Linked DNA regions of Pelodiscus sinensis. The protein of the gene in region 2 binds, or shares a complex with, the protein of the main gene of each other region. Links are inferred from orthologs where the notes say so. Each region holds a gene or a part of one and is shown on either strand. Other genes may lie near its edges.

Region 1 (7,497 bases), on a different chromosome or scaffold from region 2:
CCGCAGATCATTTTTGCAGATGTGGATATTAAGTTTGTATCCGTGCAAGCCTCCATCCATCATAGCAAGAATAATCATCATGAACTCCTCTCAGCAATCCAAAAAGTCCTGCTCCTAAAAACAAAACAAAAAACCAAGCAAAACAGACAAACCCTCACCTCATCTTAAGAAAAAAATTATTCACGAAAGAATGAACAGAACCAGAGTCCATGAAGTCCACTAGGAACTTTCCTATTGATTGTATATGGAATAATAAGAGACAGCAATATGAAATCTTAAAGAGAATTCAAAACAAGTCAACGCACCTGTTCAGAAACAATCTGCATTCAATATTGCATTTAGAAGGAATTCTCTGTGCATGCTCTCTACTGAACAAAATCCTGCCCAATCCTACCTTGATTTTCAAAACTCTCTCTCTACTCCATTGGAGCAACTAAACCAATACCAAGTAGGTAGAAACTTGTGACCACGGGAGATGTAGAATCTTCATGAGACCTGGAGCCAAGACTATAGAACTCACTGCCAGATCAAATAATGTTGATCAATACTCTTACGGAATTCAGAACTAACTGAAAACCTGTTTATTCAAGTTCTCTTGCAATAGTACTCCATAATCACATATTTTTATATTAATTAGAAAACCTCAGGCTGTCTTTTGTGCCAAGGGTAGGAAGTATTACTGATGAGAATTACTAAAAAAATATGGTAATACGTACTAATATGATAACTTGGATAAAAAATGTAGAGTATCTAGTGCAGAGGAAAAAGGGAGTGGATGGAAAAAGAAATGTTGCAGAAAACCAATGAGGACAACATAAGAAAAGAATGTTACAGGAAAAAAAAAGGACAGTAATAGAAGGAAAAGGATAGGTAATAAAAGCAAAAGAGACACAGTACATCACTATTTTTAATGGATTACTAGAAGGTCAACAAAATGGTAAACACAGTGCCAAACTGTTTTATTCTTTTGATTTACAGAAGTCATGTCCTAAAGATGTGGTGGTTTCAATTGCATTTAATGCTGGTTAGTCAGCTCAGTTGGTTTAGGCTAGCAGGTGGGCTTGAATAATAATAAAAAAGCCACACTTTAGAGATGGATTCCTTGATGTCATTTTCAGAAAAAGAACTAAAGAAATAATCAGCATGCAGAAACACTACTGGTGAAGGTTTTATTTTCTTGTTTAAAATAGTTGCATAAGTCAATATTGGGTTGTGAAAATAATACGGAATTATATGTATACTCCATATTTAAGTATACTTCCATTCATGGCACCTTTCATCAAACATATTATTGCTATAATTTAAGATAAGTACAATTTTTCAGTATGCACAAAAAAGAAACATGAGCAAATCTGTACCATCACCTTTTTCTGTAAATTGGCACTAATTTTGTGCCAAATTCAGTGTCAAATAATATGACAAAAGAAGCTGATACTTACCTGCTGTTTTTGATATGCAGTGTTTGGATTTATCTTTGATTCCAACAATAGAGAACCTGAAAAGGTGATAAGGAGTTACTTTTAGGAAGTTTAATTAAACAGACATCTCCATGGCTGTTATAACTGGCCATGTGCCCATAAACACATTAAATTCTAATTAATCCACATCATCTAGCAAGTCTAAGAAAAATATTTGCATTTTAATGGAAATCCCTACACCTTCTGAAGAAGTCCACCACAGACAAATTTAAAACAAAATTTCATTTAAACTCAATGGTCTGGGTATTGCTATTTTTCTGCTATATTATACAATTATGAGGAACGTTTTATAAATCAATACTAACAATAAATTATAACTAGCAGTTTAAGAAAAAAATTTACTTGCATTTTTTTTGCATTTTTTGCTCATATCTCCTTGAGATGCCCTTCAGAAGTGAATGATCTAGACCCTATAAACCCAAAGACTTTATTTTGTGTAAGTAACATATGTATCCTGGCAACAGTTCTGGAGTAATCTATACCAGGCCTCAGAGTCATAAGGTTTATTTAGCACATTAGCACCTGTCGGCTGACAAAGTTGCCACTTTTTTTCCTTATTTTTTCCCCCCAATGGAAACTTAAACACGCAATTTAAAAAACCCACCAGCAAGACTTTCACTTTTCCAAAACAGAGAATTTACAAAAACAAATTCCCGGCACGACCAGAAAACCACTTTCGGGGAAGGCTAAGTGAGGGCTGGCAGACTCAGTCACGGGTGATAACGTTAAGGAAGCATTTGGAGTCACTTCAGTGCAGACCACACTCGGCTTCACCGAGTGAAGGAGGAAAGTTTGGAGGCAGGAGGAAAAAGCCCCCTAGAGACGCTGCCTCTCAGGGAACGGGGCAGACTCCCTCACACAAGCCCAGAGCGTATCAGTGTCTGGGGCTTTGGCCGGGCCAGGCAAGGCCAGACCAGCAGACTGGTGGGGTCCGTGTTTGCAGGGCGCTGCGCGCGGGGAGATGTCACATTCTCTCCCCTCCCCCAGTCCCCTTGTCCCAGCACCCGGCCCAAGGCAGTGACCGGCCAGGCTGGAAGAGCACCACGGGGGCCAAGCCGCGGGCCCCCTTCCCGGCAGGGCCTAGGCCTCCCCGCAGCTCCTGGCTCCGCTCTCACCGTCCGACTCGGCCCGCACTAGAAGCGACATCCCCTTGAGTCGCTCCACGTAGGTGGAGGAGACGTGTCCGGTGCCCCTGTCGTCCCATTGCCGGTCCTCATTGAGGGTATAGACCTTCACCCGCCGCCGGGTGTCCGACATGGTGCAGCCCGCCGGGGGCCTCCGCGCTGGCTCACCGCCTCCACGGGCTCGGGCAGTCGCTCACGCGCAGCGCGGGGTTTTTAACACGCCGCTTTTCATGGCTCCCTGCAAGCGAGAGGGGAAAGTTGAGCCCCCAGCTCGGTCCCTCTCACTCCGCGCCGCCGCCTCAGCAGCTACCACAGCGCGGCCGCCATCTTGTAACCCGACTCTCCTGCCTTTCTCTTCCTTTCAGCAGCGCGTGCCACGGGCTCCACTAGCAGGGGCTACGGCGGCCGAGAGCCCACGCGCGCTGCTGCAAGGACGGAGGGGGCGGGCTTGTGTGTCCCCGCCCTGAGGCCGCCTCCCGCCGGCTTACACACTATGGCACCCTCCCCCTGTGACCTCAGCGCCCCTCTCCCACCTCCTGCCCAGGGTCCTTAGAAGCGGAGCACGCTCTGGCTGGAAGTGGTTTCCAACACATGGGGTTTGCAGTCTGGTTCAGTGGCTCTCAGCACCCATGAGCACGCTGCAATCACAATCCTGCTACTGCCCAGCAGCCACTGAGCCCACCATTATCCACTCCAGGGCCCACGGGACACCCCATAAGCATGGACCCCGCTAGAACCTAACAACAGCCCCTGAAACACCCCAACTGTAAGTGACAACAAAGACAGGAGGCATGATCTCTGGGAGTCTTTAGTCATAAATCCACACACAGGTGGCAGGCACTTTGTGCTTGAATGAGACAGAAGTGCATTTTGCCAGCAGCAACTGTGACTGATCAGACTTGTTTTTTATTCCCTCCAATCACTCCAAATGAGAGGGCTACAAAAAGAAAAAGCCCCAAACTTAGGCTCTCTTGCACTCTTCTGACTGGATTGACACATCCGGTGGGATCACAACTCCATGGCCAAAATAGGATATATATAAAGGCAATAAATTTCACCACCTGGAATGTCTGCACCCTTACCGACGCTTATCCCAGCAAATGCCTAGAAACTACTTCCTTAACTGCCAGACAACTGGCAAGATTCAACACTGACATTGCAGCTCTTAGTTAGACCTGTCAGGCCACTGAAGGCCAATTAAAAGGATGGTAATGGCTACACTTTCTTTTAGAAAGAAAAGTCAGCCAAGGAGAGAGACATTCATGGAATTGTCTTTGTAATCAAAAGCAAGATTGCCAGTCAGCTTTTGGAACTTCATATAGGGATCAATGAATGCTTCCTGACTCTGGCTCAAGCTCAGCAACAAGCAATATGCCACAGTCATCAATGCATAGACTCAATGAGGAAGAAAAGAAGGAGCAGTTTTAATGAACTCTTGATGAAGTCCTCACAACCACACCTAAAGCAGACAAGCTCATCCTCCTGGGATAAGTCTGCCAGGACTCCCAACTCTGAAGCACATAATAGGCAAAGAGGAGGTGGGAAATATAAATCCCAATGATATTCCCCTCCTCAGGAAATGTGTGGAGTACAACCTGCTCATCACAAATACCATCTTTAGGCAGAATATCCTATTTAAGAACACCTGGAAATCTCTTTGGTCCAAGCATTGGCACCTTCTCGACTGTGTTATAGTCAGAGCTCAAAACCATGCTAGTGTCTATATAACAAGAGCCATAAGAGGTACAGATCACACTGTTGGGGCAGACCATTGATTAGTAAACTCAACCATGTATCTGTAGCTCACTCCACCACACTGCAAACACCCAAAAGCTAAACAAAACTGGTAAGTCAAACCACTTCAAGACCAACCCAGATGTGAGATGTTCCAGCAACACCTGCCTGAGAAACTCCTATTTACCTTATAACATCACCAGTATAATTCACAGTGCATATGCTGAAACTACAGGATAATCCACGCATCAGCACTAAGACTGGTTTGATGAAAACAAGAAGGAAATCCTGACACAGGCTGTCAAACGTCTCTGTGATTAATTTGAGTTGGGCCTCTACCTGAGACTTGGAGCAACTCCTAATCAGCCAGTTGTTGAGGTACAGAAACACCTGTAGCTGATGCCTGTGTAGAAATGCAGGGACCACAAGCATGCACTCGGTGAAGCTGTGAGGTGCAGCTAACAGGCCAGTCAGGAGGACTGAAAACTGGTAATGGATACCATTTACCACAAACCTGAGGTAGTTCTGGGGGGCTGAATGATTGCAATATGGAGATATGTATCCATCAAGTTCAGGGTGGCTTATCAGTCTGCTATATCCAGAGAGAGGACATTGGAGGCCAAAGAGACCATGCAGAATTTGAGTTTACTTACAAACTTGTTGAGTTCTTCTCACAGGTCTTCGGTATTAGAAAGTACTGGGAATAAAAAACCCTGCCCCCATGTTCCAGTGGAACTGCCTCCACAGACCATATTGCTAAGAGCAACTGCACCACCTGGGTAAGGAGTTCTTTGTGAAAAAGGTCCCTGGATAGGGCCAGGGAAGGAGGGTGGGAGGGAAAATAATTGGATAGTGTATTCCCCTCTCTACTATGTGGAGCACCTTGCAATCCAAGGTGATATGGGACCATACCTCATAGAAAGAGGATAGTTTGGAGGAGAAGGTAAGGCAAGGCGGATCCAGTTGGTGAGCTTGTATGCCATCCTTGACCGTACCTTCAAAAGGTCTATTTAGGGCCAGGTGGTTTAGAATGGCCAGAGGATGGGTGTGGCCTCTTTCTGCCACTCCTGTTCCTTCTCTGGGGAGCTGTCCTGTCAGCGCTGTTGGTAACACCATGGTAGAGGTTGAGGTCTGAATTGCCTCCGTTGCGTGTGCAGGACTACATAGCCTCTTATCTGTTTTTTTCCCCTGAAAACAGAGTTACACCCTCAAAGAGAAGGTGCTATTTGGTCTGCTGGACTTCATGGGGAAGAGCAGAGACATGGAGCCAGGAGCCCCCCTCATGGCTCTACTTGTAGCCATGACTCTAGTGGCATCAGCACCACCCAGAGTGGTCTGTAGGGAAGTGCAGATTAGCTTCCCTTTCTCAACCTAAGCAAAAAATTCAACTAGTCAGTCTGACGGGAGCAGCTCTGTAAACTTGGTCATTGCCACAGAGGAGTTGTACAACAACCTGTTGGTTGGACATATGTAGCAGCAGGCATGTGAAATAAAATAGTCCTCCAAACAGTCCCCCATTTTTTAGGGAGCTCCCCTGAAAACCTTGTCATTCATGCTGATTACCTGGGTCCACAATAAGGGAATGAGGAAGCATGTAAAAGTATAAATGTTCACACCCCTCGGAGAACATAATATAATACCACTCATTATTCTGGGCACTGGATGGCAGGGAAGCTGGCATTTGTCTCGGGTGATAGGAAGTGTGAAATGAGAAGGACCTGAGAGGGCAAGAACATTCACCGTGGGATCAACCTCCTCACTCATCTCTTCAGCCTTGATGCCCAGACTCTGAGCTGCTTCCCCACAGCAATTGCTGCAATGCCCATTTGTCCTCAAGTGCAGGTTTATGGCTATGCCAGCCAATGCCTCATGGGGAAGGAGTAAGCTACTAAAAACAGAGCTTGTTCTCTGCTGGCAGCTCCTGATGAGTCTCATGACTCTGAGGTCTCAGACTAGCCCTGGCACCAGTGACACACTAGTCAGTGCTAGGGGTGTAGATGTAGAGATCAGTGCCAGCATAGGCATCAGCTATCCTTTCAGTACTGTGGGAAGGACTGGTATCAACTCACTGCCTGAAGTGGTGGAGGCAAAGCTGACACCTGTGCTATTGTTGGTGCTGCTGATCCTGTGGAAAGTGCTGAAGGTGCCGGTGTCGAGGTCACTGTTGGTACCAAATGTTAATACCACCAAGATCATGGACAGTGCCAGCATGGTAGGAGGGAACTGTTTTTATCAGTAGCTTCTGGAGTCAGGTCTTAGGTGCCTCCTCCATTGTTAAAGGGCACCTGATCACGATGAGGAGAAAGATGACAACTACAGAGGACATATTTGGTGAGATCTTATAAGCCTGCTTTGGACAATGAATAGATTGTTTGAAGGGCCACCATTATCAAAACATGCCAAAAAACAAAGAGGGCCAGCAACAGGCTTGGGGGGGTCTCAGTAGGACAAGGAATGTGAACTGCATCAGGATCTAAAGGGTCTTCTCAGGCAGCAAATCTAAATGGTACAGATCCTGGTAAACCCACTGGTCAAAAAATCCTGGAATCAGCCTATACACTCCCTGGAGAATTCCACAGTTGCTGCTCCACCCAACCCAAACCACATCCTTATTCCTACCACTCATCTCCTCATCAAGCAAAGCTACAGCTACAAATCACAGTTTAGTGTCTGTAACCATAACTGAACTACCTTTTTGTTGAAACAAATGGACATTAATGTGTACTTATTTTTCAATAAAATTTAAAACATTTCATCCTATTATGTTAAGTTTGTATAATATTGTATGCTTGCGTTTATTTGCACTTTGATTTCGAGCACTGAATTTTTGTACTCAAAGTTGTATTTTTGGATAATCAAAGTACCTTTATTAGTTCACAACAAATGTTATGGAACACAATGTGCAAGCAAAGAAATCAAACAGTATTTATAAATGCACATGAAGCACCACAGAATTCAGAACAATCAGGAAAGCACCCAGCCCTATTTAGAAATGTACAACAAAGAACCACCTAATTCATAGTGGTAGGTAAAGCCTCAGGCCCAGCAGTATTTCTAATTTGCAGGCAGCACAAATGAATGGATATCAGGCCACACCCAAAATGTACATTACTTGGTGATAGAAGACATACACCAAGAGAGAATATTACTGTAGATGACTT
Region 2 (7,394 bases):
GTGGAACAACTCACTTAAGTTAGTATTTGTATGATTAACACCTACAATGCTAGATGTGCAATTTATAGCATGTCCATGAGAGCCTCAAAGACCTTTTTTTAAACATTTTATCTTATTTTTCAATACCACATTAATTACATTTAATAACTTAATCTACCAGAAAGTACAAATGCCACAGAAGTTATCTTTTTTTTTTTTTTAAATCAAGGATACACAGAGTTTGGAAAAAACATTATGAAAGCCACAATACCTTTACTTGAAAACCAGAGAAATAACATTAACTGAAATGAAACACAGCAAAATAGCCTGTTATATTATATCATTTGTTTCCTTCCCTAACACAAAATCCTTTTTTGTTCGTTATGTTACATGTCAGCAGAAATATGTACAACTCTACACAGTACTTGTAAAAGAGAAACATTGCCAACACGCAGAATCACTAACATGGTGGACTCTCCCTAAATAGAGGGTCCTAATTATTTGAATATTTCAAAATGAATTTGGTAAATAAATTTTGCAAAATATCAGATGAAGAAATAATGTAGACCTTGCGGTCTAATGGGAGCAAAATTAAATGTAATGGCAAAGTCACTCCATATATTGCCTTGTTTGTGTACAAAAGAGAACACTAGAGACTTGTTGAACTATTACTAACAAATGAGAAACTAGTAAGCAGCTACAGCAACTACAATACCAAGTAATTAAAAAATTAAGAGAAATATTGAGAATGTACAGGTCCATGATTTGTATCTCAAACAGAGCTCATTGCAGGATCAAGGCCTTTGTATAAATGAATACAAAATTAATCCACATATTTCCTAAAAAGAAAGCAAGCAAAAGCACCTGGGTCTAAATTCCCTATCATATATGTTTTCTTACATATTTCCTGTGAGGTGACTTTTACAAATATCTTATAGCTTCCAAAATACCATATACACAGACTAGTCAACAAAAGCCTGACAAAATTTCAGACAAAATATAAGCTATCATATTTAAAGAGTAATTTTACACTTTACAAAAATAGCATTTTTTTCAAGTCAGACCATCTAACAATCCATTAAGCAAAAATATCTGTATTACAGCTGTGCCTTTTTCTGCTGAGCTGAAACCTTTGATTCAAAGAGCAAAGTGCATTTCGGGACTTGAGTTTTCCCTTTAAAGGCCACAAATTCAACGAGTAATAGCACAGTATATTAAAAATCAGATCTCTTGCAAGTTAGACACACTATAAGCTAGAACAAAGCCTCTGTGAATCAGTAGTTCCTAATAAAACACTGGTATAGACACACATTCCTTTCTGAAGCCTGTACTAGGCCTCAAAAAACAAGGAGGCAGCCTGGGAGCCAGAAAGTGAGCAATTCACCAGCAAGGCACCCAGGGAAGCCTTTCTCCTTCCTGCCAAATGGTGAGGCACCGAGGAAGTAACACAATGCAGCACCAGAGATTATCTCTGACAAGGAGAGATATTCCAGCTCTTTGATAAATACAATGTCCCTTCCAAAAAAAAAAGCGGCCCTAACCCCAGTTAATGCTGATCTATGAAAGAAAAGCCTAGGGAGAGTGAAGTGGGAACAGTTGTGTAGACTAAGAAAGGAGGACCTAATGAAATGCAAGGTAACAAGTTAGTTCCCATACCCTTTTGGGCAGACAGTTTCTAAATTATGTTTTTCACCTTTGACTTAAAAAACAGAAACTGAATGCAAGGCAGCCTGTGAGTATAGTACACAAAGCCTGCAAACATTCATCTAAATCACCAAGTCACTTGCTTTTGTGAATCATGCTATGGGATATCACGTTTGAAAGACTTCACAATACACACTAAAAAAAACTTCTCCTCTTTCAGGCTATGCAACCAGATATGAGTATTATATAAAATGCGGCGAAAGCAACAGGCATTCACAGGATCCACAAAACCCGACAGATGACCCTGAACCAAGTCTATACAACACACAAGGAGAAACTTCTCAATCATATCAGACTCATGTGGGTCAACTACAAGCATGAAAGGAAAGAAACCAACAAAACTGGAGAGGTCTTCAATCACTAAGAACTGCCACTAGAATGAAGGGCAAAATATTTAGGTCACAAAATCAAGCTGCATGTCAACCAAACTCGGGCATTAAATCTAAAGCTCTGGGCCTAAAATTGGTAAAAGCTCTTATGAGCCTCAACTGATAAGAGTGGGGAAGGAATCAGACTTACATTGTCTCCCCAGTCTTGGCAACATGACCAAGAAACTGATCCAGCACTGGACACGATTCCTTCTTCCCTCGCTTCTCAAAATCTGCAGGTAAGGGAAGCGGGGGAGGGGGATGAGAAAATCCCAGTTACCATCAGTGGCCTTGGTCCCACAAGACGCTTTGCCAAGTCCCAGTGTGCGGGAAAGCGAGACCCCCCCCCCCGGTACCCCACTCCCGCCGCTGTCTGAGGAGGGAACCGCCTGCACCTGAACGGCGGAAAGTCACTCGAAGTTGACTCGCAACTTCCCAGGAGCGGCTGGAGCCACGAGAGAGCCGGCTGCGCCCAGGGAGGCAGGCGGGGGATAAGGGGAGGGGGGACAACGGGGGCGCTGGGCTCCGCGGGGCAAGGGGGGGTCAAGGGCAGAGAAGAGACACTGCCCCCCCCAGCCGCCCACCTACACCGCCCCCCCCCCCGCGCGCTCTCCCTCGTGTCCCAGGGAGCGCTGCCGCCTCAGCGACGGGGGGGAGGGGACTTTGCTCCTCACCGCCTCCTCCGCCCGGCCTGGGGCGCCGCCTCCTCGCCTGCCCCAGGGGCCGTGGCCTCCCTCAGCGCCAGGACCCACCCGCGGCGGCGCGAGCGCCCCCCGCGCGGCCCGGCCCCCACCTTTCAGCGCCTCCTGCAGCCTCTCGACATCCATGGTCCGCCGCGGCGCCGCTCCCGCCTCCTGCCCCCCCGCCCCGCACAGGAAACAGGCACCGGCAGCGGCACGAACACACACCGCGGGCTTAGCAAGCCTCCAACATGGCGCCGGGCCGCCACCGTGCGCGCCCCCGACGGCCCGCCCCCTCCCGGGGGGAGCGGTGGCGCGCCGGGGGGCGGGGCTGGGTGAGGCGGCAGCGCGAGGGGATGGGCTCGGCGCGGGCGGGCGGCCGGTACGCGCACCGCTTGCGCACGTACCGCGGGGAGGGGGCCCCGCCCTCGCCTTCTGCGTTCTGAGTGGGGGCCACCTCGCCCCCCCCACACTGACTGGGGGGGTCACCCCTCCCTCTGCCCCAGGGGCCACCTCGCCCCCCCCACACTGACTGGGGGGGTCACTCCTCCCTCTGCCCCAGGGGCCACCTCGCTCCCCCCACACTGACTGGGGGGGTCACCCCTCCCTCTGCCCCAGGGGCCACCTCGCCCCCCCCACACTGACTGGGGGGGGTCACCCCTCCCTCTGCCCCAGGGGCCACCTCGCCCCCCCACACTGACTGGGGGGTCACCCCTCCCTCTGCCCCAGGGGCCACCTCGCCCCCCCACACTGACTGGGGGGGTCACCCCTCCCTCTGCCCCAGGGGCCACCTCGCCCCCCCACACTGACTGGGGGGGTCACCCCTCCCTCTGCCCCAGGGGCCACCTCGCCCCCCCCACACTGACTGGGGGGGGTCACCCCTCCCTCTGCCCCAGGGGCCACCTCGCCCCCCCACACTGACTGGGGGGTCACCCCTCCCTCTGCCCCAGGGGCCACCTCGCTCCCCCCACACTGACTGGGGGGTCACCCCTCCCTCTGCCCCAGGGGCCACCTCGCCCCCCCACACTGACTGGGGGGTCACCCCTCCCTCTGCCCCAGGGGCCACCTCGCCCCCCCCACACTGACTGGGGGGTCACCCCTCCCTCTGCCCCCCAGGGGCCACCTCGCCCCCCCCACACTGACTGGGGGGGGTCACCCCTCCCTCTGCCCCAGGGGCCACCTCGCCCCCCCACACTGACTGGGGGGGTCACCCCTCCCTCTGCCCCAGGGGCCACCTCGCCCCCCCACACTGACTGGGGGGGTCACCCCTCCCTCTGCCCCAGGGGCCACCTCGCCCCCCCCACACTGACTGGGGGGTCACCCCTCCCTCTGCCCCAGGGGCCACCTCGCCCCCCCCACACTGACTGGGGGGGTCACCCCTCCCTCTGCCCCAGGGGCCACCTCGCCCCCCCCACACTGACTGGGGGGGGCTACCCCACCCCCCTGCCTCTGCCCCAGGGGCCACCTCACCCCCTCTCCACACTGACTGGGGTGCCTATCCGATCCCCCTGCATCTGCCCCAGGGGCCTCCTAACCCCCCCACACACTGACTGGGGGGCTACCCCCTCCCCCTGCATCTGCCCCAGGGGCCACCTCACCCCCATTCCACACTGACTCGGGGGGGGGCTACCCCATCCCCCTGCATCTGTCCCAGGAGCCTCCTAACCCCCCCCAAACACACTCTGTGGGGGGCTACCCCCTCCCTCTGCATCTGCCCCAGGGGCCACCTAACCCCCCCCCACACACGGACTGGGGGGGCTACCCCATCCCCCCTGCATCTGCTCCAGGGGCTTCCTAACCCCCCCCCCACACACACTGACTGGGGGGGCTACCCCATCCCCCTGCATCTGGCCCAGGGGCCTCCTAACCCCCCCACACACACTGACTGGGGAGGGCTACCCCATCCCCCTGCATCTGCCCATGGGGCCTCCTCACCCCCCTTTCCACACTGACTGGGGGGGCTTCCCCATCCTCTCACCCCTGTCATATGGGTTTCCCAATCCCTCCTGCCCCTTCCACAGGGGTCTCCCCTAGCTCCCCCCATCTTCCATACTGACTGGGGGGCTACCCAACCCCTCTCCTACACCCACGTTTCCAATAGGGGCTTCCCCACCCCTTCTGGCCCTTCCACAGAGGCTTCCCAATCTCCCACATTCCACACTCTGACTGAGGGGATACTTAGCCCCCCACACAACATCCGTACTCTGGGGAGGGGTTTCTCGTCTCCCATCACCTTCCACACACACACTTCTGCCACACTCAGATTTGAGGAGACTCCATACTCCCTTACGCACTACCTACACACCAGCTGCACTGTCTCTGCTATTTGACTATTATATTATTTACCTTAAGTATTTTTGCAGTAATTTTTATATGAAAGATGCCATCTAAAATAAGCATGCTTTGTACTATAATACCATTGTACACCATGGTATGAATTACTGTTTTCTATTGCTTTCAGGTATAGGTGCAACTGACCAGCTGCATTAAAAGTCAGTAATCATTTCTTATGTATACATCTAATAGAATTGACTAGGATGATCATCCAGCCAAACTTGGAGGGATATTCCTTATTTGAGATATAATATCTTTGAGTCCCATATCCATTAATTAAGGGGTACACTTTGAGCAGTAATCACGAAAAGGAACATACACAATTATACAAATGCATGATTTTCCACAAATGAAATGAATTATGCTATATATAAGCACACACACATTGACTCACATATTTAGGTGGTCACTCATATTTGATCTGACAATTTTAGAAAAATCATGTTTGGGAATTGATAAATAGGAAATGATAGTTAAACCGCTTTTGCACAACAAAACTATGCAAATATATTTCTAAAAATTACAGAACCTTGATTTTCAATGCTTTCTATTATTTGTAATGGAAAAGCTGATCCTTTCAGTCTGAGACCCTAATTTGGCAAACAGTGGTGTGCTTAATTTTGAGCATGAGTGGTTCCCATTGATGTTGTATTGAAGGCAATGGGACCACTCACATGCTTAAAATTAAGCACATATGTAGTAATTTACAGTGCCATGGCATTAGTTTGAAAATCATCAAAAGGGACTTCTATTGAGAAGTTTAATTAAAATGACAGCCTCTGGCGAGGGAGAAAACAGATCTATGCACTAAACAGAAATACTGAAAAAGTGTGAAGGACTTCTAAAAGCACTTTTAGAAATGTCTTTTCGATATATATTCTTGTAATGGTCCATCAATTTCCCTACACAAAAGCCCACAAAGGACAAACACCCAGAGCAGTGGTAAAATCTGTACAATCTTCCCCATACTTCCCTGGACTGGGTCCCAGAATCAACAGGGATGTTAACTGAAACAGAGAGACGTGGGATTCATGGGAATCTGAGCGCCCAGCTCTGCAGATTTTAACCAGCCAGCCAGCTGCACACACACAAACGTATCTACTGTGGACACTTTGAGGCACTCGGGATCATGATTCCTAGAAGGAAATGGAAATGCCCATAAAAATGAAGTCATAAATAAAGTAGCCAAATATTGCAGCTAACTGTTATTTTAGGCATATGTGAGCTGGCACATCTGCTGTCATTTACTATTAGGTAAAATCCTGAATAGGCCTGGATCATCTCCCACACTCTACCCCGGATCTGAATATGCAGGGACGTGTGCCCATAGATTTCCCTCTTCTCATACAAAAAAAGGAGGAAGGGGGAATCAGTAATCTCTGTGAACCATTCTTCGTCCTCCTCTACCAACTTTTCCTGAGAATACAGAGTATGCATAGCATGAGTTAGAGATTTGACAGACCGCAAGGAACAGTAGGAGGGCCAGAGCATGGCTGATAATGATGTACATTGTCCACCCTCCAATCCCAGTGAGCTTTCCTGAATATTCCAGTTCAGGGTCCTTGGCAGAACAATTCCAATAAAGTTGCATTGCAAGAATGCTGATGTGCTCTAAGAGATTAACCTGGTTGGGGTACAGTCTATTTTCTGGATGAGGACAAAACCAGTAATTTTGACCAAACAATATGGCGTGCTCTGCCTGGGGACCACTTCCCCAGGAGCTCTCTGTGTGAGTTTTGGCATGCATCAGGGATAATCCAGTTCCTAGAGTCTAACCATGTCCACACACATGTTTTTTTTTTCTATAAAGTGGAGAACCACAACCCGTATTTAGAACTCCATGGGCTTTAGAACTGAGATCCTTGTAAACCTTTTGGAGCTTGGAGTACCATTTAATGTTAGTAAGATTAATGCTACTTACCACTTCATATTTATAACATGCTATATAAATCAACTGTTTTGTGATGCAATATAAAAATACACTTTGTTAAAACACACTGTATAAAATGTATTCTAAATGTTTTGTAAACTTTCTAAAATATTTTTAATCCTGTAGAAATATCTCAGATTTAACACTTTGAGGTCCTCCCTGGCTGAAGCTGGATATCTGCTAATAACCCAAAGGAAGTAGAGACAGTGGAATTATAAATATTTTACAAAAGAATGTTATTTTTTGTGCCATAGGTCAACCCTCAAATTTAAAAAAGAAAAATAGCATTGCTCCCTGAACTCAATTTCTAGGGGAAAACAGCAATAGTATTGAGACTAGTAGTACTTAAGATTTACAAAATTTTTCATTTTCAATGTATTTTCCACACACTAAGTATTA
Region 3 (7,082 bases), on a different chromosome or scaffold from region 2:
AAATGCTGGTTTGCTTTTTAAAGTTATGGATAACTAATCTTTAAAATTCAGTAACTCCTAGATACACATTAAAGTAACACTTACAATACTTCATACTTCCATTTTCTTTAATAGATTTATACAAGCTCATTTACAGCAATGAAACTACTGAAATAAATCTGTATATGCAAATGTAACTGAAACCAGTGGAAGACTGTGTCCTTTGAACAGACTGCTTCTTCACAGTCAGATTACAACCTGCAGCATTTTATGCTCAAAAATTCTATCTAGATCATTGTATTTTTAAAACACTACTACTACTGCATTTGGTGTTTTAACATCGTTCTTTCATTTGAAGTTTCAGTTGAAGTTTATTAATTTATTTAGCTCCTGAAAGCTACAGTGGTGATGGTGAGTGCTAGAATTATACCACTGTAACATAAACCTGTTTATAATGGTGATGTTCCTCCTTCTCACTGGGCTCCCCACCACCCTTAAATTTAATAATAAAGGTCCACTGCCATCTCGAGTTTATCTAACCTAAGAAATAAGACATGCAGAAGAGAATGGGGAGAACAGGTCTCCAACTTCTTTGTAAAAAATCAATTATATAGTTAGTTTTCATAATTTATTAATAATAATTTAGCAATTTAAAAGACTTAAGTCAATATAATTAGCATTTAAACATGCTTTGGATAATCAACTTACTACATTTGATTCTTACTGTATCAATTTAGGATTTCCTGATAACTCCTGAAAACATGCACTTCCTCTTCTACAATGACTGGACTAAGTAACTGACCTCAATGAAGTTTTCTATCCTTCAGTTTCAGCACAAGGAAAACCAAATAAACATAGGGGAGATAGCAATCAAATATAAACAGCAATCTACAAGAATGACCCACCCTCCCCAGATGTAAGATAGAAAGCCAGGAAGTAGCTAATGGCAGAAAAACATCACCCAGTACATAACTATATGGTTAAATGAGATAGGACAGACTACATTCATGGTACCAGAGTTAAATGAAGCCAGCTATACTTCAAAGTTTAATCTACAGTAATCATTAACTCACTGATCAAGTAATCAAGGATAGTTCATACACAAACCTATCAAAATGTAGCAAAACATGCTTGGAGTGAGAGAAAAACAGGTGATATGCTTTATTTTAAGTGAATTTATTATTTCAGGGGTAATTCTAAGGGCAGTTTTAGCATGAGCGCAGAATACAGTAGCTGCTTAAAAATATCCTCAAAATGTTGTTTTGTTCTTTGTATTGTCTTGAAATCAAAACTGCGAGTATCTATCTACACATTATAAAATACTCTTTAATACACTTCTAAAGAGTGAAAAATATATTTGCAACCCACCTACAGAAAGCTGAATAGACAAGAAACAACAATGAAATAATTTTAATATTTTATGTTCAACACATTTAATCCAAACTGTGAATAGTTTCTTTAATCTTGGGATTATCAATTATTTCAACAAGAGATCCCAATTAGTGTTTAGGGAAAAAAAATCTTGGGGAGGGGGAGAAATGGGATAGTGGTGTGCAATATAGTGTGTGAAATGTGTACTACCTGTATGTGGTATACAGCTTTATGTCAGTGTGTCCAATATGCATCAAGTGTGTACCTGAGGAGTGGGAGTGTGTTGTCTTAATCTTCCAACCTTGTCATATAGCCTAACAAGAGTTAACGATAGCTGCTGACTGCCCGATTTCAGAATCACATACAAATTATGCAGATAAAATCACAAAGCAGATATATAAAGCCATTATCTTTTTTTGTAGGTGGATTGGAAAAAGATTACAATACTTGCCATGTTCTCACACCACTTACCATCGCTCTCTGCCCTGACAAGCAGGGACATGCCCTTCAGCCTTTCCACGTAGCCAGAGGACACATGTCCAGTGCCTCGATCATCCCACTGGCGGTCTTCATTCAGCGTGTAAACTTTCACTCTCCGCCGGGTGTCGGTCATCCTGCCGCCTGTCACACCACAGCCACCACCCTGGCCTGTGACACCTAAAGGAACAGGAGGTTGGTGGGGGGCTAGGCCCCCCTCAAAGGAGAGGCGCAGAAAAGAGAGTAGCAGTCCCAAAAAGACACCCCGGGATCGCTCCTTATTCTTCACTGCTGGGGCAGTCTCCTCCTCATGCTCACTATTTGGAGGCAGGGCAGAGTGCTGGGGAAGGGGGTGGTAGGTGGGAAGCAGTTACAGAGGACCAGGAGGTGCTATTCAGGAGGGGAAGCCTGGCGATTGCCAGGTGTAAAGCAACGGGCCACAGGGCAAGTGTGGGGAGGGAACAGAAATATCAGAGGAGAGCTGGTGAATGAGGTAAAAGAGGATGGCAGAGAAAGATGGCTAGGGAGATGAAGCGGGTGGGGGAAAGCAGAGGGAAGGGGTGGCTGGGGATGGGGCAGCAGGAGAGGGGTGACTCGAGAGGGCAGTGCGCTGGACGGAAAGGGGGCAGGAAGAAGCGAGATCAACAGAGGTGACTAGGGTGGTGGCAGATCGGCGGCAGAGGGAGGGAGCGAGGTCAGTTCGCCCCCTGCCCGGCGCTCGGCTCTATTGTGCGGGCGCTGCCCAGGCCCGACGCCCCCTCGCAGTTTGTCAATAGAGGGGCAGAGGCGGCGCGGCCCCTCCTTCCTCAGGAGCGGCTCGTGGGCGGCCAGCGGGCGCTGCCTGTCCCGGGAGCGATGCGAAGGCGGCCGGGCTCAGCGTCCAGTCTCCCCCATGGGCTCCCCTCGCAGGCGGCAGCTTCACTCCCAGCCCGGCTCCGCCGCCATATTCTTCTTCCTTCTGCTCCCGCTACTGCTGCGGCTCAGCCCCGGCTCCTCGGCCCGCTCGGTTAGGCCGGCCCGCTCCGCTGCGGGCGCCGGCACGCGCGGTCCCTCCCCGGCCGGGCTGGCTGGCGGCCTGGCTGAGGCGCGGCGAGGCCCGACTGTGTCCCACTGGCTCCGTCTCCGCCTCAGTCACTGCGCGACCGCCATCTTGGTTTCACCTCTCACTAGAGGCGCGGGGTCTCCCAGCCAGCGGCGGCACGGGCCGCCATCTGGCATTTAAAGGGCCAACAGCAGACACAGGCTCTGAGAAGGGATGGGACTATGGGGGGGGGGGAGTGGGAGACAGCGGATGGGGGGGGGGGGCTACCCGCTAGTCACTCCCGGGGAGCAGCGCGTGCCTGTCACCCAATCTCCTCAGTCACACACTGTGTGCACCCCACGGAGTGACCTACCTAGGACCCCACAGCACCCCCACGTGACCACTTGCAGCCTGGGGGGCAAGGGCAGCACCCCACCCAAGACCTCACGGCACCCCTCAGCACGCTGGGAGGCAGAACCCTACGGGCGTAGCACCCCAATGATCATGCAGTGTAAAAGAACAGTAGCCCACCGCACCCTGGGGTGCCAGAGCAAAACCTCATTGCTCAGCAGGCCCATCACTGCACACCACCCCCACACCTTTTGGGGCAGTCCTGCAGGGCAATAGGGCACCATCCACACCCTTCATAGTGCCTTCAATTGGTGTGTGAGAGCAGTAGCTATACCCTACATTTGAGTTCACACTGGAGGGAGCAGGGCTGGCCTGGGGGGAACCGGCCAGCAGGGAGTGGGGCTGGCCCAGGCACACGCAGATCCCAGGGTCCTGCCCGTCCTGCGCACTGTCCCAGTGGGGCACATGGGCGAGTCCGGCCCCTGGGATTCCATCCTGCTCCAGCCCTGTCCCCCTCCTCTCTACTGTGTAGTTGCGTACTGCCTGGTTGGTAGACACGCTCACACAGTACTGATACTCATGCAGTATGCAACTACGAACTGATACTCATGATAATAATAAAACTTACTTAATTAGAAAATACCAGACATTTATATGTCCGGTATTTTCCTAATTTATTTCCTGGACAGAAAGCTCAAATACTGGTTCAAAACCGGACACGTGGCAACCCTAGTTCACCCTTGAGCTGAAGGGTGGCGCCCTTTGGCATCCCACAAGAACAGTAGGCAGGAGGGCCAAAACACCATTACAAATAATATTTCACAACTTATATTTAAGGTCCTAATAACTTCACAGCCATAAAAAATATATCATGGACCATGAAATCTGGTCTCCCTTGCTGAAAACTGGTCTCTTTTTTTGTGCTTTTACCCTCTACTATACAGATTTCAGAGGTGGGAGACCAGCATATCTCAAATCGGGGGTCCTGACCCAAAAGGGAGCTGCAGGGTATCACAAGGGTTTTTTGGGGGGTGGTGAGTTGGGGAGTATTGCTGCAATTACTTCTGCACTGCTATGAGAACTGGGAGGCAGGAAAGTGCCTGTTATGGGCTGGGCACCCAGCTCCGAAAGCAGCAGCTCACCAGCAGCAGCCCATAAGTAAGGGTGGCTTGGTATGGTATGTTTTGCCACCCTTCCACACTGTGGCCTTCAGAGCTGGGCAGAGAGTGGTAGCTGTTGACTGAGACCAAGCTTTGCATGCAACAGCCTAGAAGCTAGGGTGGCAATACAGGCAGTCCCCAACTTACGTCGGATCCGCACTTACGAACGGGGCTTTCTCGCCCCAGAGCTCACAGGCAGCGCTGGCAAAGCCTCAGAAGCGCGGGAACCCGCCGCTGCTGCGGCTTCACTCACGGTGCCCCTGGTCTGCTGGAGACGGTCTCCAGCAGACCAGGGGCACCGGGAGCAGCTTTTCTCGCCCCGGAGGTAGAGGTGGTTGATCGCTGCCTGTGAGCTCCGGGGCGAGAAAGCTGGAGACGGCGCATAAGCTTTCGTGGGCAAAGACCCACATCATCAGATGCATGTAGTGGAAATTCCAGAGGCAGGTATAAATATACAAGCATAAGAAAAGAGTACCAATCAAGAGTAAGGCTAGAGATAACAAGGTAAATTCAGTCAGGCAGGATGAGACCCACTTCTGGCAGCTGATTTGGAGGTGTAAACACTAAGGGTATGTCTACACTACAGAGTTAGTTCGAACTAACTTAATTCGAATTAGTTAATTCGAACTAAGCTAATTCGAACTAACGCGTCTAGAACTAAAAACTAGTTCGAATTAGTGTTTTGCTAATTCGAACTAGCATGTCCACATTGAGTGGACCCTGAACAGTGCCAGCAGGGCATCAGAGGCGTGGAGATGCTGTCTCAGGCTAGCCGAGGGCTGCGCTTAAAAGGACCCGACCCCCACACCGGACAGACAGTTCTCAGGAGATCCCCGCTTGAAAACCAGTCCTGGCTTGGAGTGCCCGGAGTGCCCACACTGGGCACATCACAGCACTCGGCCATCAGACCGGCTGCACTTGCCGCAGGCTGCCATCTGGGGAGAGGGAGCAATTGGGGGGCTGCAGGAGAGCTTCCACCCCCAGAAGCCCGCAGAGCCAGCCCAGTCCTCCCCATCGGGGGCTCGTACCCCATTCCTCCCTCACCTCCTTCCACTTACCCTTCCCTAGCCCCCCTTCCTGATGTACAAAATAAAGATAATGTTTCTTCCAACATTGACTCTGTCTTTATTGAACAAAACTGGGGGAGACTGGGAAAAGGAGGTGGGAGAGGGGAAGAGAAAGGCTGGGAGAGGGGAGGGCAACTAACATGATCAGGGGTTGGGAACAGGTCCCAGATGAAGAGAGGCTACAGAGACTGGGACTGTTCAGCTTAGAAAAGAGGAGATGGAGGGGGGACAGGATAGAGGTCTCTAAAAGCAGGGGTTGGGTGGAGAGGGTGCATTCAGAAAAGTTCTTCCTGAGTTCCCATAAAGAAGGACTAGAGGACATCAAAGGAAAGGAATGGGTAGCAGGCTTCAAACTAGTATGAGAAAGTTGTTGTTCTTGACAAAGCAAATAGTTAACCTGTGGAACTCCTTGCTGCAGGAGGCTGTGAAGGCTACAACTAGAACAGAGTTTAAAGGGAAGTGAGATCAAGTCATGGAGGTTGGGTCCATGGAGTAGTCTTAGCCAGGGGGTAGGAGTGGTGTCCCTTCCCAAAGTTTGTGGAAGGCTTGAGAGGGATGGCACGAGACAAATGGCTTGGTCACTGTCTTCGGTCCATCCCCTCCAGGGTCCCTAGTGTTGGCCGCTGTCGGCAGACAGGCTACTGGGCTAGATGGACCTTTGGTCTGACCCAGTACGGCCATCGTAAGCTCAGGGCTCAGGGTCGGGGGTCTCAGTGGACCACCTTGATTTTCATGCACACCTGCTCCTGGGTGGCCAGGCTGGCAGCTCTCCTGCCCTAGCCGGCCACTTTCCTGTGCCTAGTGCGGAGATCGTGGATGAGGTCCACGATGTCTGCACTAGCCCAGGAAGGTGCCCGCCTCTTGCGGTCATGGGCAAGCTCCCGGGAGCCACCAGCCTGGTCCCGGGAAGAGGGGGTGGGCTGGGGGACATCGGGTGGGTGGCTCTGTGCCGTGTCAGGTGCAGGGTCTGCTGGCTGGGTGCTGGCAGGCTTGCACCTGGCACGGGCACCATAGCCAGCCCGTGCCCTTTAAGGGGTCCGGGGCCGGGAGGGGGGCAGACGAGTTTCCCTGGTGTTGGCCAGAGTGGCCACCAGGGAAAGCTGGGGAGGGCTAGCCTCCCACTAGTTCGAATTAAGGGGCTACACACCCCTTAATTCGAACTAGTAAGTTCGAACTAGGCTTAATCCTCGTAAAATGAGGTTTTCCTAGTTCGAACTAAGCGCTCTGCTAGTTCGATTTAAATTCGAACTAGCGGAGCGCTAGTGTATCGCCTATGAATGTTAGTTCGAACTAATGTCCGTTAGTTCGAACTAACTTTGTAGTGTAGACATACCCTAAGAGAGGAGAAACTGCTTTTGTAGTTGGCTAGACATTCTCTTCTCAAGCTCTACGCAACCACCGCCCCCAGCTATCTCTGAGATACTACTGACTTACTAAACTACAAAACATCGATAACCTCCCCGATAACACCATCCTTGCCATCATGGACGTAAAAGCTCTATACACCAACATCCCACATGAAGACGGATTACAAGCAATTAGAAACACTATCCCAGAGGACACCACTGCCAATCTGATAGCAGACCTATGTAACTTTGTTCTCACCCACAATTATTTCCAGTTTGAGAACAACTTATACCTCCAGATCAGCAGCAC
Region 4 (7,159 bases), on a different chromosome or scaffold from region 2:
CTGCACAGAGCCAGGGCAGGCAGGGAACCTGTTTTCGCCCCTCAGCACCGGCGACCAAGAGCCAATTGAGATAGCACTGCCTGCCCAAATCCCACAACCCAGGCTCTTTTCCATATCCCAAGGTCCTGCTCCAGATCAGAACCCTGTCCTGCACCCAAACTTCCTTGCAGAGCCTGCACCCCAGCTTCCTGCCCCAGCCTTGAGCTCCCTCCTGCAGTGTGAGCCCCTTGGCCTTAGCCCAGAGCCCCCCCCCACCTTCTAAACCCCTTATCCCCGTCCCCACCCTAGAGCCTGTACCCCCATCAAGAGCCTGCACCCCCTCCCACACCCCTTCTGCCACAGCCCAGTGAGTGAAGATATGGGAGACCAAGTTATAGAAAGAGGGAGGATGGAGTGAATGGGGTGGGGCCTCAGGGAAGGGAGCATGGTAAGGGTGTTTGGATTTGTGGGGTTAGAAAGTTGGCAACCCTAATGGGACTAGTCATAAAATTGCATTAGTAACCATTGCAAAATCGGGCCTTTAATGATTAGACCATTAAACATTAAAAAAAATTAACGGTAGCCAAAATTTATTACCAAAAGTACAGCAGATGGACAAAAATGCTGGCCTATCAATACTGCCAAGCAGACCAAACCAAAACAATTAGGAAACTAAAAAACATACTGAAAACATGTAAGGCAAGCATGGATTCAGAGACCGCTAAAGATGGCAGAAAGACAATTTGGGAGGAAGCTTGCAGCTGGCTTGCTAATTACTGAGCATTACATAAAAATGTATATTCAAATCAAAATCCTTCAGAACACTTATCCCTTCAAAGATTACATCTGCAGTTGAGTCAAAAGAGCTCTGGGTTTGAAACAATTATAATTTAAAACAAGCAATAGTAACTAGATAGGTTAGGGAACTGGAAGAGGAGGATAAAATGAGGAACAAGAGCACGGTTAATATTAAAATAATATGTTACACATTATTTTCTTAGGATTTTAAGACCGATCTCTCAACATTCCCCTCTTTATACTGCCCAGAAGCATGCAACAAACTCAAACAACTCTGTTCCATATCAGCATAATCATTGCTCATATAGAGTGAATATGAAGTTAGTCACTGATTGCTCTCTTTAATACCAACATTCAGTCCAGTGAACCTTGGAAAACCAATTACAGGGCAAAAAAAAAAAAAAGAGAGAGAGAGAGAGAGAGAAATGAAGTACAAACAATTCATTAATGGCAAAGGCACATATCAGGAACTCACTGAGCAAAGAAACACTTGTAGATCTGTAGGAGTATCCTATCCAATGCCAACATGTGCAAGTTGATCAAATGACACCTATTTTATCTTGCCTCTATTTATAATCATCCATATAGTAAGAAGAATAAAACCAACAAATGTTATAGACAGAAAACATAAGGAAATAGAAATAGGGAACTAAAATAAAAACTAGATGTTGTACACATGCACAACAATATTTTAGGACATACCTGAGTAGATATACAGCCCTTTCAATATCATTGAGTTCTTCATCAACTGTCAATCTCTCTATTTCTTCTGGTGTCTGTCAAGTGTGAAATACAAAATATGATTTTAAAATACCTTACTATTTCCTTTTTTTCAATTGTCTTGTAACAATCCCTTTTTCCAACCTCCAGAAACAATTACATGGTTAATGGGAATTTAATTCTTAAAATTGCAAATGAGGTTTCTAATTCAATCAGGTAAATCTTTAGCCAGAAATATGTCAGTGGTTCTTATACAATACTGTTCTAACAGTTATTCTTACAATATATATTTCATTTACAGTTAATATAAAATATATGAAAGTTACTTTAAACATCAACTAAGTTTTCTTCATTTTTCCTACTTAAGACTTTGTATATACCGAGAAACATTAAGGCTCTACTAAACAGAATTCAAGGATGTTAATTTCACCACAAGTGAAAACAAATTTTAAAAATGAGTGCTGCAAGAACACGGTCAGTGCAGCAATCTATGCACAAATACAAGCCTGCAATAATTGCTGGATTTTAAAGCATCATTCAGGGTTTTAAGTATATACCTTTAAACTCCTGCGTACCGGCCTTTCTATAATAGTAAGTTCCTGAAGGTCTTCTATGTATCCAAATAAATTGTTCTGACTAAAATCCATTTTGGAGATGATTATCGGATGCACGTAACAACTAGAGCCCTTGGCAAACCATGATCCATCCAAGCGTCACATTGCATTTAGTAAGGGAGGAGTCCGTGAAACACCCCCTTCCACCGATGCACTTGAATGTAGAGCAGTACCAGTGACTGACTCTTCCTCATACGAAGCTGCTGAGCCCCCACCACCCAGGAGGGGCCTCAGTAAACACAATGCGGCACCAGCACAACCCACTTCTGCCTTTTTATGAGCATCACTCCATTCTCAGCACAACCTCCTGGAAGGAAACTTTCTTCAGCTGCTTCACTTCCCTCCGGCGTCTGCAGGGAGCGGCAGGCACCAGCCTTCTTACCCTTCGCTCCTCGTGCCCTGCTGGGGCGGGGGAGGAGGGGAGGGGTGGCTTCCACTTTCTCCTCCACGTACAAGCGATGCTCTTGTCCTCAGGGTTGTGGGGAGGAGGCACCAGCCCGCGGGTGCCGCCCCCAGAAGGGATCGGGCGCAGTTGTTTGTGCAGCCTCCACGTAAAGGGAGCCTATGGGGGCAAGTCCCCTAAGCGGGTAGGTGGGGGCAGTCCGCCCTTCTGCCGCAGGTCCCCCAAGAGCGGTGGATGGGGCGCAGTTGCGCGTGCGGTTGGGCCGCCTCCTCAGCGCACCCCGGGGGCGTGATCCGCCCGGATAGGTCACCAGTGAGGGGGGTACGGTGCCATCGCCCCAGGATGGGCCTCGGGAAGGACAGAGGTTTCCCAGGCGCCCGGCTACGCTCCCTTCTCCAGCGAGGCCCCAGCGAAGCGCAGAGCCGCCGTTCAACGACTGAGAGCAGGAGCCGCCCCCAGCACAGCGAAGCCGGTCGCCGGGGCAACGCGCCGCTACCGCGGCCTTCGCGGGGCAAAAGAGCTGCCGGAACGCGGCAATATCCGAACGCGCCGGGGGATGCGGGCCGGGGCGCCGATGCTACCTTGTCGCAGGTCAGCCCGGAATGGGAGGGATCAAGCTCCAGGACAGAGGTGACCCCCGCCGGCCACTAGCGGAGCTCCGCCTGCCTCACCTAGCGCTGTGTCAGGGCCCTCCTCCATCTCATTCACACCCACACCCGATGACTGGGTTCTCCTCGATCGTACACCCACACACGGCGGGGTCTGGGCTCTCCTCCCTTACACACCGCCGTGTCAGAGCTCTCCTCCATCTCACATTCTCACTCACACACTGTGCTATGGCTCTTTCCTCCTTCCCCCTACGCACCGTCACAGTTCTCGCCTCCCCTCTCCCCAATTTCAGGGCTCGTTCCTCCTCCGATCTCCCCTTCACACACATACACACACAGTGACAGGGCTCCCTCCTCCATCGCACACTTCACAACCACATACAGATAACGTCAGAGCACTCCACCATCACAAACCGGCCATGCCTCTCTTCTTGTCACACACCCTCATATGCTATGTCCAAGTTCTTTCCTCCACCTCTCTTTCACCCACACACAATGTGAGAGCTCTCTAGCTGTCTACACACACACGCATACACACACAGTGTGAGAGCTCTTTGGCTCTACACACACACACACACACACACACCCACAACGCAGGCACAACCAACCAACCATCAGAGTTGTCCCATACTGTAGATGTCCCATATTGTAGATTCCTCCACCACCAGCAATAGGATTCATGATCCCAATGGCAGAGCTCTGATCCATCATACCCCTCTTTCCCACAATGTCAGTACTCCTCCATCACACACCTATTATTCCATGCGCTGGGTATCCCTAAATCTTGGACTGCCTTGCTTTATAAATTGTGCTGTTCTGTTCATTCCCTCTGAAGCATCTGGTAGCACTAGCCACTGTTGGAAGACAGGACACTGAACTAACTGGACTATTGGTATGACATTCTCATAAACACTTTCTCTCCTACGTCAGAACTGTCCTTACACCCCACACCTACATTTTTCCTCCAAAATCCAATGTCTGGTCTATTTTAAAATAGACCTCAAAAAGTTTTTGAGTGAGATCAAATTTTCAGAAATGTTTGTGTAAGCATCTCATGAAATACACAGCAAACTCCTTTTATACTATAAGCTTTTAAAAGCTCAATTAAAATTAATCTCCAGCAAAGAATTTATCTTCAAATAAATGGACTTGGCACCAGGTCTATAATGGAGGATGGAAGACATCTCCAGTAATAATACCTTGTTAGTATTCACCTCCTGTTTTTTCATGGGCTCTGGTTAGATAATGTTCAGACTTACTCATACAATAAGACAAGGTTTATTATTGTATTTGATTTTTATAAGTATTCTCAACTTACAGTAAAATGTATCATTCTGCCTGGCAAATACATATTTGTGTAGAAGGAAAATATATTCAATATTATTTTGAAATAATAGTATCCTGTTTTTAGATATGGCTGATAGTCAATTTGCCAAACTGTCAGGGCTCTCTCCTCCATCATACTCACAAAAGATTGCAATCAAGAGAAGACAAGAAGACTTGCAGCAAGAAAAAAAATAAAAGCAGGAGAATCATAGCAACACCAAGAAGAGACAGAGTTGATTTATTTGGGAACTACCAAAAAAGCAGATAGACTTGTCTCCAGAGTTGAAATGAAGAGCAGATGGGTGGGTTGTCTGCTGGTAGCTAAGATACCGCATATGCACCTGCTGAAGACAGGATCCTAACAGAAGCAGAAAAAAACCACTGACTGTCCTCCACATGGGAATAATTTATACTGGCATACTCTCACTGGGATGCATCAAGGAAGACTACACTAGGCTGGAGAAGATGCTTAAAGTAACAGAGGCTCAGGTGAACTTAATTGGGATTCTACCTGTCACTAGAGACAAGCAAAGGTAAGACAAGATTATGATGATCAACAGATGACTCAGGTAATAGTGCTACAAGAAAGGCTTTGGGATGTTTGGTCATAGGGAGGCATTCATGATAGATGACTGTTCTTATGGGATAGACTCCACCTGAGTTGAGTAGGAAGGTCAAGATAATAGATTTTTTTAAATTCAGTTTGGCATAAATGATTAAAAAAAAGCTTTAAACTTGGGATTTGGGGGAGATGACTGGAAGATTCTTTTGTAATCCCCATGCCTGTCTTGTAATATCAAGCAAAAGGACAATCAAATAAAAAAGTATACAGAAGTGAGAAAGGAGCTACTGAAGGTAGAAAGAGGACCAATGACATTAATGGTCAGGTAAGCAATACTAGCAGTAAAATGACTGTCCTAATCAGGCCAGGAATCTGGGTAAGCCAAGGAGAACCAACAAAAACATTTGTATACCACTACAAACAGCCTGTGCCACAAAATGGAGAAACTACAACTTGTGGTGCAGGAAATGAAGCCAGATAATACAGGAATACTGGAAATATAGTACAATAGTAATCATGACCAGAATACAGATATTCCAAGGCAGTCTGCAAAATATCTTTGATGCCTGTACACAAATGCAAGGAGTAAATGCTAGGAATGGATAACGGGGGATGGATCTGATGCTGAAGACAGGATCCTAACAGAAGCGGAAAAGAACCACTGACTGTCCTTCAGATGGGAATGATTGATACTTTTAGGTTCTCAGATGATTATCTGTTTTGTTCATTCCCTCTGTAGTATCTGGCATTAACCACTATTGGAAAACAGGATACTGGGCTAGAATGACCAATGGTCTGACTCAGAATAGCCAGTCTTACATTCATATGAATATGGGGAGCAAGCAGGATGAACTGAAAGTCATAATATATGAAGAAAATTATGACTTAATTGGTATCATAGAGACCCGGTAGGACAACCAGAGGTGAAATTAAGGGGGTGTGACCCAGTGCACTGCTCCATCAAGAGCTCTTTAAAGAGCTGGCTGGGGTGCAGCTTGCACGTGGTCTCCTAGCTCAACTCCTGCAGCTGCAGGTGAGGCAGCACTGCAGGAAGTGTAAAGGGACTAGATGGAGGTGTGCTGTAGGGTAGACGTGTGCTGGGCAGCCTACATGCTATCCCTGACTTGCACTGTTGCCATCAGTCCCTGGGGGAAAAGCCAGTTTCCCAGCAGCAGCACCCCCAAACAGACTGCCCACAGCTCCCTTGTGGCCAGGTAAGGTTACCTAGTCACAGGCCACACCCCCACCCCAACTCCTGCACTTCACACATGCAATCCTACCCCTGTCCTGAGCCCCCTCGCATCCACCGCTCTGCTTTGAACCCCCTCCCCATGCTCTGAGCTTCCTGCACTCCCACTCCCTTCCCTGACTCTGGCAACTCCTGCCCCCACAGCCTCATCCCTGGCTCTGGTGCCCCACACACATCCTCAGCTCCCCCCCCCCCCCCCCCACGCCAATGGGAATGAAACTGCATTAATAACAGAAAAGTAGAGTTATTGCTTTAATTACATATTTTACATTACAAATCCCCTTCCATTTTCAATTTTTACTTCTTGCCAGGTGGAATACATTCATGTTTGGTCTGATGTGATGTGTACCTGTAAGAAATTTAAGTTTCTTTCATTCCTGAGGACGACTATCATAACTGGAGTATCAGCACTGAGGAACCTTGCTTGTTCTGAAATCATAGGTATGGGGGGGGGAAAGAAGAAGTGCTTGTGACATTGCATCCCATATTATTTATGGAAATACATGAAATATTTTACAGTAAGCATATTCAAGTTATATTTATGAATATAATGTAACATAAAATTTAAAAATGTATAACCTGCTGGATGTGTATAGTTTATTTGAGTTTAGAAATATGAAGTATAAACCTGTTTTACTAATCTAGACAGGCTAAGTAAGAGCCATTAGTAGTACTCAAGGAACTTAATGGCCTGTACTTGGGACAATGATCTGTGAAAAGTCTTGTTTTTCCTCTAAGCCTGGACTGTGACTGGTCCTGCCATGACATGGGACCAAATCACCTGATTCTAGAACCCATTTTGAATGCTGTACTTTTCCACTGGAAGTATGAAAAATTGAAACTGAATACAAAGGATTCCTGCCTTTGGAAAAAGAGTTATAAAGGTGAGAAATCAATCAA

The links.
Region 1: PPP4R2 (region 2) and PPP4R3B share a complex: the UniProt entries of both Homo sapiens proteins name them as parts of the PP4 complex. The link is inferred for Pelodiscus sinensis from reciprocal best matches to the Homo sapiens genes PPP4R2 and PPP4R3B.
Region 3: PPP4R2 (region 2) and PPP4R3A share a complex: the UniProt entries of both Homo sapiens proteins name them as parts of the PP4 complex. The link is inferred for Pelodiscus sinensis from reciprocal best matches to the Homo sapiens genes PPP4R2 and PPP4R3A.
Region 4: PPP4R2 (region 2) and PPP4R4 share a complex: the UniProt entries of both Homo sapiens proteins name them as parts of the PP4 complex. The link is inferred for Pelodiscus sinensis from reciprocal best matches to the Homo sapiens genes PPP4R2 and PPP4R4.

What each region holds. Positions count from the first base shown.
Region 1 is NC_134713.1:176,541,832-176,549,328, forward strand, and holds the start of PPP4R3B (serine/threonine-protein phosphatase 4 regulatory subunit 3B), read right to left. Parts: upstream 3,010-7,497; 5' UTR 2,736-3,009; coding exon 2,594-2,735; intron 1,496-2,593; coding exon 1,440-1,495; intron 1-1,439. UniProt on the Homo sapiens protein: Regulatory subunit of serine/threonine-protein phosphatase 4 (PP4). May regulate the activity of PPP4C at centrosomal microtubule organizing centers.
Region 2 is NC_134721.1:11,130,730-11,138,123, reverse strand, and holds the start of PPP4R2 (serine/threonine-protein phosphatase 4 regulatory subunit 2), read right to left. Parts: upstream 3,020-7,394; 5' UTR 2,879-3,019; coding exon 2,845-2,878; intron 2,519-2,844; exon of another isoform or gene 2,447-2,518; intron 2,285-2,446; coding exon 2,203-2,284; intron 1-2,202. UniProt on the Homo sapiens protein: Regulatory subunit of serine/threonine-protein phosphatase 4 (PP4). May regulate the activity of PPP4C at centrosomal microtubule organizing centers.
Region 3 is NC_134714.1:31,305,955-31,313,036, reverse strand, and holds the start of PPP4R3A (serine/threonine-protein phosphatase 4 regulatory subunit 3A), read right to left. Parts: upstream 3,010-7,082; 5' UTR 1,964-3,009; coding exon 1,822-1,963; intron 1-1,821. UniProt on the Homo sapiens protein: Regulatory subunit of serine/threonine-protein phosphatase 4. May regulate the activity of PPP4C at centrosomal microtubule organizing centers.
Region 4 is NC_134714.1:29,145,355-29,152,513, forward strand, and holds the start of PPP4R4 (serine/threonine-protein phosphatase 4 regulatory subunit 4), read right to left. Parts: upstream 3,001-7,159; 5' UTR 2,145-3,000; coding exon 2,055-2,144; intron 1,554-2,054; coding exon 1,480-1,553; intron 1-1,479. UniProt on the Homo sapiens protein: Putative regulatory subunit of serine/threonine-protein phosphatase 4.